Canis lupus familiaris: one gene and its partners. The protein of the gene in region 2 purifies or fractionates together with the protein of the main gene of each other region. This does not show direct contact. Links are inferred from orthologs where the notes say so. Each region holds a gene or a part of one and is shown on either strand. Other genes may lie near its edges.

Region 1 (2,917 bases), on a different chromosome or scaffold from region 2:
GCAGGCGCCAAACCGCTGCGCCACCCAGGGATCCCTTGCTTCCTTATTCTGATAAGGGCATGCTTTGTGGTTTTTTTCTGTAGCTGGGGTAGAGTTCAGTACCTGGTCACAGTGGCCTGAGATGGCTGCCCAAGGTGCAATGGCTGTACTTGTGCCAATGTTAAACTTGAATGGCCCTAATTTTCTCGGCCTCCACAGGACTAGATGTGAGGGACTAAAGAACCAGAGCTCACTTCCCCGGGTGCCATGGATCAAGGCCTCAAACGAAGTTCCATCAGGCGAGGGATCCCATCTCTGCTCCTCGTGTTTTGGCACATAGCATGGATTCGGTACTAAAAGTCGGATGAACCGGGGCAGCCGGGCTGGCTCAGCGGTTTAGCGCCGCCTTCAGCCCAGGGCGTGATCCTGGAGACCCGGGATCTAGTCCCACGTCGGGCTCCCTGCATGGAGCCTGCTTCTCCCCCGCCCCCCCGTATCTGTCTCTCATAAATAAATAAATAAACAAACAAATAAATAAATAACATCTTTAAAAAAAATAAAGGTCGGATGAACCATGGATTTGGAGGGGAAACCAAACAGGAGCTCAGTTACCTGTTCTTTCTTCTCAAGAGGGGAAACACCTCCAAAAACAGAGTCTCGGCCACGTAGTCCATATTCACCCTATTTCTACATCTCGCTTTACTGGTCTCTGTCCCGTAGGAGAACGGCTGCCCCTCAGCTCAACACGCCTCCTTCCCCAGGGCCCTGCGCAATTAGTGGCCCGAGTAGGGCCTCACGAAGATCGACTCCCCAAGGGCGTTTTATAGCGCTCAAAAAGGAGCCACTGGGGGGCGGGCGGGCACCAGCGGAGCTCCGGCTGCGCACCAGCCCCCTCGACCCACGCCGGCGCCGGCTCGAGCGCTACTAGATAGAGGGGTGGGGCTTGGCCACCGAGCAGGGGCGGAAGTTGCCGAGAGTCCTCGGGGGCTTTGACCACGCCCCGTCGGCCTTGCCCGGAGGCGGAAGTAGCCGGTTAGCGCCGGAAGTTGCCCCGCGCGGCCTGAGAGCGTTCGTAAGCGGCGCGGGGCGCCCGTTGCCATGGAGCCGGCCGGGCCGTGCGGTTTTTGCCCGGCCGGGGAGGCCCAGCCCGCGCGCTACACCTGTCCTCGCTGTAATGTGCCCTACTGCTCCCTGCGCTGCTACCGGGCGCATGGCACCTGCGCCGAAGACTTCTACCGGGACCAGGTGCTGGGCGAGCTTCGCGGCCGCAGCGCCTCGCCCAGCCGTCTGGCCAGCGCCCTACGCCGGCTGCGTCGGCAACGCGAGACCGAGGACGACCCCGAGGACGCAGGCCTCAGGCCTGGCCCGGCGCCAGGCGGGCCCTCCAGACTCTGGGAGCTACTGGCCCCGGCAGAGAAGGTGGCCTTCGAGCGGCTGCTGAATCGTGGCGAGGCCGGGCGGCTGCTGCCCCCATGGAGGCCGTGGTGGTGGGGCCGCGGGGCTGGGCCGCGGCTTCTGGAGGAGGTGGGTGATGCTGCGGACCGTGACCCTGCGGAGCTGGAGCCCACCCCCGCGAGGACGCCCCCGGAACCCGTGAAGGAGGCCGCCGCTGAGCCGTTTCTCGAAGACCCTCCCGAGGCCTGCGCGCCCGCCGTGCCCACCCGGATCCCCGTGCTGGCCAGTCTGAGCCGCGGCCGGGCCTCGCCGCTCGTGCGCTTCCAGCTGCCCAACGTGCTGTTCGCCTATGCGCACACTCTCGTCTTGTATCACGGCGGCGACGAAGCACTGCTCTCTGACTTCTGTGCCACACTGCTCGGCGTTTCCGGAGCCCTGGGTGCGCAGCAGGTCTTCGCCTCTGCTGAGGAAGCCCTGCAGGCCGCAGCCCAGGTGCTGGAAGCGGGCGAGCATCCGCCTGGGCCCCTGGGCACACGGGGTGCCATACGCGAAGCCGCCCGCATCCTGATGGGTGAAAGCCCCGCCAACCGGAAAGGCTACACGCTGGCAGCCCTGGGGCACCTGGCACAGACCCTGAGCCAGGCCCGGAAGCAAGCTGTGGCTACGGAAGAGCGAGATCGCCTCTATCGGGCGCGGAAGAAGTGCCAGTTCCTGCTGGCTTGGAGCAATGAAAATGAGGCGGCCCTCACATCCCTGGCTCTAGATTGTGCAAGGGCCCATCGAGCCCATGCTGTGGCGGCCGAGGAGGTGGTAGCCCTCACCGAGGAGTTGGAGCAGCTTTGGGGAGGACCCCTGCCACCTGCTCCAAGAATTCTCATTGAGGAGCTCCCTGGCTGAACTGGGATCTCTTTGTCATTAATAAAGCTGGTCTTCCCTGTCAGCAGTGCCTGTTTCTGAGGAACAGCTCTTGCCCACCCCACCCCCAGACTCTTGGGCCCATAGACCACTTCAGCTTTTCCTGGATCAGAGCTTACCTAGAAAGTTTTAAACGCCCTGGCCCCAGAAAGGGAGGGAAGTGGTACCATGGTTTCTAGATGTTTATCCAAGGAGAAAGAACAGCCCCTCCACTCCATTTTTGGGCACTGGCTTCATTTCTCCTTGCTCCAGAGCACCTCTCCCGGGCTGTTCATCCCTGCTTGTTGGAGCTTGGAGCAGGGTAGGAGTCCAGTCTCCTGGTGCTGAGTGCACATGCCCCAGTCTGGGGTGAGTGGAGCTGCTTCAGTAGATGTAGGGCAGGATTCGGTAAGGCACACGCCGACAGTATTCATGCCAGGCCAGGCCATACTTCTGCAGGCACTGCTGCTCATCCCGAGCCTCACGGTGTACCAGTAGTGCCGTGAAGTAGAGGAGGTAGAAGTAGGGTAGCAGGTGAGACACTCCTGTGGGGAAGTAGAGGCTGTGATCGCTCAGCAGCCCCTCCAGTTCACAAAGACTTCCACATCTAATGGCTCATAGGACATTGGGGCTGTGGTGAAAGGTCCAG
Region 2 (3,645 bases):
AATGAAGTGCTGTTACCACCTGACTCCAGACTCCTCTCCCATACAAACCATCAATCACTTTCCCCCACCAGCTCCCAACCCAAGGGTTTCTGTCTCAGGAGGTTAGATGGAAGACAGAAGGGTATCCTACAGAAAAACCAAGGCCCTCTCAGATAGAAAATGCTCCCGGATGGATGTTTTTTTTTTTGGAGGGGGGTTGGGTAGGAGGGGGTCAGGGTGGTCCCTGAGGACCAGGTATGGCTGGAGAGAGCTAAATTCTATCAAATGCACTGAATCCTAAAGTAGTAAAGGGAGACACATCCAGCCTTTATGGAACCCCCCACACGTCAAAACACTCAATCTAGCAGACATGGAACATTTATTGCGCTGAGACCTGCAGCCACATTTGGCCTCATTCACAGGCATTTAAATTTATCACAGAAAACAACAAGGTCCAATTGTATTATATTTATAGAGTAGGCTATTAATACCATGACAGGAAAGAATAGGCTATAAAAGTCAGGATATATCAGAACAGAGGAAAGATCCCAAGTGCAGAACAGATCATCCAAAAATACTGCAGGTTAATATTCTCTAGTCTCCTAAGAAAGTTAAAATTACTTTCTTTAAGGCTATGAATAGAGATTACAATTATAAAGCAGCGCTTTGTAGGCGTCATTATTTATAATGAGAGTGAGAAGGAAGGGGAAGGAGAGCGACACCCCTGTATATTCTGAATGGTTCATCCTAAACCTTCCACAGAATTTCTACTTACATCTTGGTCATAGCGCTTCCTGATTTCCGGGTGAGTCTGCTCTATTAAACAATCTACGAAACACGTCTGAAAGAGAAGAGAAGGTTAAGATGTGCCAAGCACAAAGGAAAATCTACTCTACCCTTCCCTCAGTGCCCAAAACACCACCTAATTTAGGGATAAAGAGAGGAAGAGGAGAGCAAGGAGGATTATGGGACAGCAAGGGATTAATACTGAAGCCACTGAAGCCATAGGATTATCTTCAAATGAAAGATGAAATCTTTCTTGGACAAGCATTCCCCCAGGAAATGAAAACTTATAAAATGAGAGTAAGGCTCAATTTCTCCTCTTCTGTACAGATGTAGACACAAGGCTGCAAGTGGCTTAGAAACAGGCTCCATCCACTGTTCAGGAAAAGCTAGAATTTCATAGCACAGTTTCACACTAAGCATGGAGGTCCCCCATTATCAGAGGTCCATCATGATGGCCTCAAACCCCAACTGTGACTCTGAGGCCTGAATAAATGAGCAGAAACTAAGAGAAATCGTGTTCCAAGTAGCTGAAAGTTCTCTCACCTTGCCATGGTGGAGATGGCCACAGAGGGTTACATTTCTGATGAGCTCTGAATTATCCATCAGATCTGCCAAGAAGCTGAAAGGAGAAAGGAAAAGAGAAAAGGGACTTTGGCAAAAGCTTCCAAATGGGAAGTGGTACAAAAGTGTTTCATGAATTTTGTCAGGAACAATTTTCAGACCAACTGGAGAATGCTCAGAGGCAGATGTGAATTTCTACATCTATATGGGTTTGGCTCTGGAAATGGAACAGACTTATCCATGACATGACACAACCCATGAAATGGGTTTCAAGAGCAAAATCATGAGATTTCAAAAGTAAGCAAGAAAGGCAAAACCAAATATAAGGACACATGCACGCACATACACCAGCACTGTCCCTTTCAAAATCCTCAGATTAGATACCACACATTTATTTCATTGATGCAAAGGGGATTTAAAATCACTTTGAGAGTTTCCCTTTTATTTTTTTAAAGATTAAAAATAAATTTTTTAAAAAATATTTTATTTATTCATGAGAGACAAGGAGAGACAGAGACACTGGCAGAGGGAGAAGCAGGCTCCATGCAAGGAGCCCGATGTGAGACTTGAACCCGGGACCGTGGGATCATGCCCTGAGCTAAAGGCGGGCGCTCAACTGCTAAGCCACCTAGGCATCCCTAAAATTTATTTTAGAGAGAGAGCGAGAGAGAGCAAGCATGAGCGAGCAGAGAGGGGAGGGGGATGCAGGGGGAAAGAGACAAGCAGACTCCAGGCTGAGTGCAGAGCCTGATGTGGGGCCCAATCCCCATGACCCTGAGACTGTGAACCAAGCTGAAATCAAGAGTCAGACGCTTAACCGACTGAGCTACTCAGGCACCCCAGCTTCTCCTTTGAAATTGCCCTTAGAAAGAAAAAAAAAAGAAAGAAAGAAATTGCCCTTAGAGCTAGTTAACAAAACTTTTGAGAAAACTCCATCTCATTAATGATGCTGAGGAGTTCCATCTTGATCAGAACGGCACTTTCTTGCTTACCACATTAATTCAGAGGACTTTGACTCTTTGAAATATCAAGCCCACTTTAAAAGATTGGAGATTTTAAAAACCACCACTGAGAACACACAGGAATCTGAAGCAAGTTCTAAAGATAATTGAAAAGTTTTTCAAAAATGGCTGAATGTTGGCAGGTGGGCTGACCATTTCAGAAGGGATCCCACTCTTTTATTTTTTTTAATTTCATTCATTCATTCATTCATTCATTCATTCATTCATTCTTCAAAACAAAGAGAGACAGACAGACAGAGGCAGGCAGGGGGAGAAGCAGGCCCCATGCCAGGAGCCCAATGTGGGACTCGATCTCAGGTCTCCAGGATCACACCCTGGGCCAAAGGCAGGCGTCAAACCGCTGAGCCACCCCGGGACCCTCTTTTTTTTTTTTTTAATAGATTTTATTTATTTATTCATGAGACACACACACACACACACACACACACACACACAGACAGGTAGAAGGAGAAGCAGGCTCCATGCAGGGAGCCAGACGTGGGACTCGATCCCGGGTCTCCAGGATCAGACCCTGGACTGAAGGTGGCGCTAAACCGCTGAGCCACCCGGGCTGCCCAGATCCCACTCTTTTAGACACAGTAGATTTCAACATGTTTAAAACAAAGAAAAGTTTCATTATCTAATAAATGAGTTCTAAGCACTTCAATATATGAGGACCTTACAAGTGCATTTCATCAATGAAAATATTTTCAGAAAGTCTGCAGTACAAAGAATCTAAAGTACTCTACACATGTAGAATATTTCCTTTCCATAATAAAGAGTTGTTATATTCCCCAAACAGCATTCTCACCAAGTCAAAATAGGCTCTGGTTGCCCCAACATTGATGATTACAATCCCCAGTTCTGTCTCAAAGGCCAGCTTCTAATACCCAACTAAAGAATTGGAAGAGAAAAGGCTGAGATCTGAAGGAGAGGCAGGAGAAAAGTTAAGATGGACTCTACACATTCCAGCAAACATGTATGCTCAAGGAAAATTCTGGCAAATTGTAGGAGAGGATTTTTACTTTTACAATTTACTAGGTACTTCAACCATAAACTACCTCCTACCTCCACAGAAAAATGAACCCACACTGAGACCTTATAACTTACTCCATTTCATACACCGTGACAGGTAACGTCTGCTCCATCAGAGTGAATTTCTTGGTTTTCACTGGCTTAATAATAGGTTCTAGGGGAGAAAAAAAGAAGTGATGTACAGGTTGGCATGAAACATAAAAATGCAGAGCCCCATTCCATTAGACGGAGCTTTCATTTTTTTTAAAATAAGATTTATTTATTTGAGAGAGAGAGCACGCGG
Region 3 (3,745 bases), on a different chromosome or scaffold from region 2:
TGGAGCGGCTCTGTCCTCCCCATGCCCCGCGAAACCGCCTTCAGCGGCACCCCCTGAGCCCCGGGCCAGATCCTGGGGCTGCGTAGGGAAGGGGACAGGTGCTGCCCGGCTGTCTTCCTGGAGTCCCCTGCGGTGGGTTAAGGGAGGCTCCTAGGGGAGCAAGTGCCCCTTGAGGGAGAGATCTCTGGAGAAGGCGAGGATAAAGGAGTGAGAAATGGAGGGGTCGGTCTGGCCCTCCACCTGGGCCTCGGTGGACCGACCATCCCAGGACCAGGGAGGATGTCCGCCTCCGGCCCGCGCCCTCCCGCCGGGACCTTGGCTTCCTCCTTTCCCCGCCTCAGAGGCCCCCGGGGGGTGGGCCCCCCGGGAGGTGCAGGCGCTCGTCCTGGAAGCCACCGCCAGGTTGCAAGGTCGCCCGGACCCCCGCAGGCTCCCTTTGCAGAGCAGAGCTGCGCGCCGCCGCTAGACCGCGGAGCTCCCGAGCGCGCCCGGCCCCGGGCTCGGGCTCGGGAGCAGGTGCCTCGCCGCGCAGACTCGCCCGGCGGGCGCGGGGACCGGCTCGGGCGCGGGGCGGGCGGGGCGGGCGGGGCGGGCAGGCGGCGCGCGTTCCCCGCCGGCCACACGGCCGCCTGGCGCCCGGCGAGGGGCGTGTGCGCGGCCCGGATCCCTGGGCCCCATGTTCACGGAGCTGAGGACCAAGCTGAGCCCCCCGCGAGGCCGCGCCGGGGCTGTGCGCGCCGGCTTCGGGGAGCGCCGGGATGTGGACGGTGAGCAGGGCTGACCACGGCGCGGGCGGGCGGCGGCTTGAGCCGAGGGGGGCCGCATCCTGGCCGATCGGGGTCCCTGGTGCCTTTGTCCTGATGGGGGGTGGCCTCGGGCCGGGGCATCAGCGCACCCTTGGCTTGGAGGAGGTTACGGCTGGGGCTCCTGCCCCCCGCTGGCCCACCCCGCGGTCACCTTTCCCTTTGCGCGCCCTTCCCTCCCCTGCTCCGCCGTGGGGCCGACAGGAGCCGAGGCCACAGCTGGGCTTGGACGCCCCCGGCCCCGTTTCATGGTGGAATTCTGACGTTGGGGCTAAGAGGGAGGGACGGAACGACGGGCGGACAGACAGAAAGACGCAGATCGTTCCCCTAGCCTGGGCAGCAAATGGGCGGGGCCCGCTGGACCCCGACAGGTGCAGCGCCGCGGCGACGCCCACCTCGGCCAGAGCTTCACGCTCCTGCCCCTGCCCCTGTTCCTGCCCCTGCCTCTGCCCTTGTTCCTGCTCCTGCCCCTGCTCCTCCCCTCCCCCTGCTCCTGCCTCTGCTCCTGCCCCTGCCTCTGCTCCTGCCCCCGCCCCTGCCTCTGCTCCTGCCTCTGCCTCTGCTCCTGCCCCTGCCCCTGTTCCTGCCCCTGCTCCTGCTCCTGCCCCTGTTCCTGCCCCTGCCTCCTTCCCCTGTTCCTGCCCCTGTTCCTGCTCCTGCCCCCTGTCCCTGCTCCTGCCCCCTGCCTCCTGCTCCTGCCCCCTGCCCCCTGCCCCTGCCCCTGCTCCTGCCTCTGCTCCTGCCCCTGAACCTGCCGCTGCCCCTGCTCCTGCCCCTGCCCCTGCCTCTGCCTCTGCCCCTGACCCGGCCAGCCCACTCCGCCAGGCCCTGCAAGGCGAGGCCGAGTGGCTCTGGAACCTGTGCCCTGAAAGATGCCAGCTTAGAATAAGTCTTTTTCCGTGATATCAGAAACCTCATCCAGGCAGGGACCGCACCAGGCACACCCTCTATTTGATCCTGGACCTCAAATTTAGAGTCACCTGGGGTCATCCAATTCCGAAAAGTTGCAAGTATGAAGACGGCGTGCTGAATCGGAGGAATCTGAAGGGCTAGAAGGGGGAAGTGATGGGTTTTCCCCATGGCTGAGAACTCCTGGGCACACAGCCAACCCCTCCCTGCCCTCAGCTGGGGGCACTGGGTTGTGTCCATGGAAGGCAGGGTCTCTCATTCTAGGGCTGAGAGCCAGGGAGGCGAGGGCCCTGGCCGAGAACCTGCTTCTGCCTGCCGAGTTGGGGCCTAGGTGCTGTAAAGATGAAGGCGAGCCTGGGCCCAGCTTCCTGTCTCTCCCCAGGGCTCTACTGGCTGTGGACACCACACAGAGCCTTTCTCCATCCACCCAGCCAGCCAGCCACAGTGTTCCTGGGCACCTGCTGTGTGCCCAGACCTGTGCAAGGGTCAGGAGGCCATTGTTAGGGTGTCTGCCCTCCCGTGACCTATGTGAGCAACGAGCCCAGGAAGGACAGCGAAACTAAAACTTGAGGAGTGTAATGAAGTCTGTGGAAAGAAAGCGCCAGGTGTCCCCGTGGCTCCCCGAGCTCATGGCTGGCCCCTGCACACCTGTGCTGAGCAGCCCATGTCCGCTGGATGCCCACCCACGGGAGCTGTCCTGGGCCAAGGGCCCTGCGACAGGTGGCAGAGCAGGGTTCCCGGGGTGGCTTGCCTGCAGTTCATTCAGGCTTCCCGCCGAGGGGTTGGCAGGTGAGCACCGCACGGCAGGAGCCACGTCTCAAACGCCAGGTATGGCTGCAGAGTTGGGGTGCCGTCAGTGGCGATGGCAGGCAGCATTCTCGGGGACGCCGTGACGCAGGGCCTCCCAGGACAGAGGGGCCGCAGCGTGCCCTGGTCTGGCTCAGCGTGCGTCAGCCTAGAGCGAGGGTGAGACGAGGCCTGTCTCAGGGTAGCTCCTCACCAGACTGTGAACCTTAGGCTCCCCGGTGGGCACACTGTCTCTCGAACCTATGCGGAACCCCTCGTGCTCCCCAGAGCACGGCCAGTGCGCCCAGAAGAGGAAGGATGCTCCCAGGCCATCAGCTTTGGGCTGGGCGGGCTACGCAGGACCGTTCTTGCGCACTTCCTTCCTGTCCCTGGGGGCTTGGGGCCCCCCGATTGGGAAAAGGGGCCTCGTGTTCAAGGGAAGATGGGTTGAGCAGGGAGTTGGTTTGCAGAGAGACGATCCTCTGGCCCCGGCCCTGACCGCCCTGACCAGGCGCCCATGCCCCGCAGCCACTGCACACTTCAGCTTCTGCCGAACCCTCCTGGAGCACACGGTGTCCGCTGAGAGCATCCCCTGCCACCTGCCTCGGACGCCAGGCACCAGCCTCACATGGCACGACTCCCGTAGCCAGAGGGCCGCTGGTGGCCGGCCGGTCAAGCTCCTGCAGCAGCCTGGCACAGAGGCCCCCCAGGTACCCACCCGCCGTCCCCCCTCAGCCCCTGCCCTCCCACCACCTCACCGCACCCGGCACCCGTCTCCCCCGCAGGGCCGGATGTACTCTGACCACTATGGCCTGTACCACACGAGTCCCTCCCTGGGCGGCCTGACGCGGCCTGTGGTCCTGTGGAGTCAGCAGGACGTGTGCAAGTGGCTCAAGAAGCACTGTCCCCACAACTACCTCGTCTACGTGGAGGCCTTCTCCCAGCACGCCATCACAGGTGCCCTTGGGGGCTGTGGCATGGGGGGGCATAAGGATCCCCTGGAGAGCCCCCCCAGCCTGCCTTTGTCTCTCTTGCCGTCATTTGTCTCTCCTCGGTTTCCTCTTGGGCCAACCTCTCCTGCCAGGGCTCTCTCTCCGCAGTCTCCCCGGCGTGTTGCTCCGTTCTCATGGCTTTTCTCTGCCCTCCCCTCTGCCTCTCACTCTCTTTCCCTCTCTAAATCCTGCTGTCTCCGCCTCTCCTTCTGTGTCCTTGAGTGTCTCTGTGTCCCCTTCCCGTTTCCCTCTCTC

The links.
Region 1: the proteins of EFTUD2 (region 2) and ZNHIT2 purify together in Homo sapiens (affinity purification with mass spectrometry; 4 studies listed by BioGRID and IntAct, with this or other methods). This does not show direct contact. The link is inferred for Canis lupus familiaris from reciprocal best matches to the Homo sapiens genes EFTUD2 and ZNHIT2.
Region 3: the proteins of EFTUD2 (region 2) and PRPF6 purify together in Homo sapiens (affinity purification with mass spectrometry; 6 studies listed by BioGRID and IntAct, with this or other methods). This does not show direct contact. The link is inferred for Canis lupus familiaris from reciprocal best matches to the Homo sapiens genes EFTUD2 and PRPF6.

The regions. Positions count from the first base shown.
Region 1 is NC_049239.1:52,582,819-52,585,735, forward strand, and holds ZNHIT2 (zinc finger HIT domain-containing protein 2), read left to right. Parts: upstream 1-1,011; 5' UTR 1,012-1,077; coding exon 1,078-2,271; 3' UTR 2,272-2,314; downstream 2,315-2,917. Other genes in the region: delta(14)-sterol reductase TM7SF2, read right to left, coding at 2,653-2,813. UniProt on the Homo sapiens protein: May act as a bridging factor mediating the interaction between the R2TP/Prefoldin-like (R2TP/PFDL) complex and U5 small nuclear ribonucleoprotein (U5 snRNP).
Region 2 is NC_049230.1:18,486,189-18,489,833, reverse strand, and holds part of EFTUD2 (116 kDa U5 small nuclear ribonucleoprotein component), read right to left. Parts: intron 3,517-3,645; coding exon 3,438-3,516; intron 1,385-3,437; coding exon 1,309-1,384; intron 821-1,308; coding exon 755-820; intron 1-754. UniProt on the Homo sapiens protein: Required for pre-mRNA splicing as component of the spliceosome, including pre-catalytic, catalytic and post-catalytic spliceosomal complexes. Component of the U5 snRNP and the U4/U6-U5 tri-snRNP complex, a building block of the spliceosome.
Region 3 is NC_049245.1:48,284,758-48,288,502, reverse strand, and holds the start of PRPF6 (pre-mRNA-processing factor 6), read right to left. Parts: upstream 2,490-3,745; 5' UTR 2,475-2,489; coding exon 2,464-2,474; exon of another isoform or gene 1,853-2,463; coding exon 1,784-1,852; exon of another isoform or gene 1,576-1,783; intron 768-1,575; coding exon of another isoform or gene 677-767; exon of another isoform or gene 609-676; intron 1-608. Other genes in the region: SAMD10 (sterile alpha motif domain-containing protein 10), read left to right, coding at 2,762-3,208, 3,284-3,455. UniProt on the Homo sapiens protein: Involved in pre-mRNA splicing as component of the U4/U6-U5 tri-snRNP complex, one of the building blocks of the spliceosome.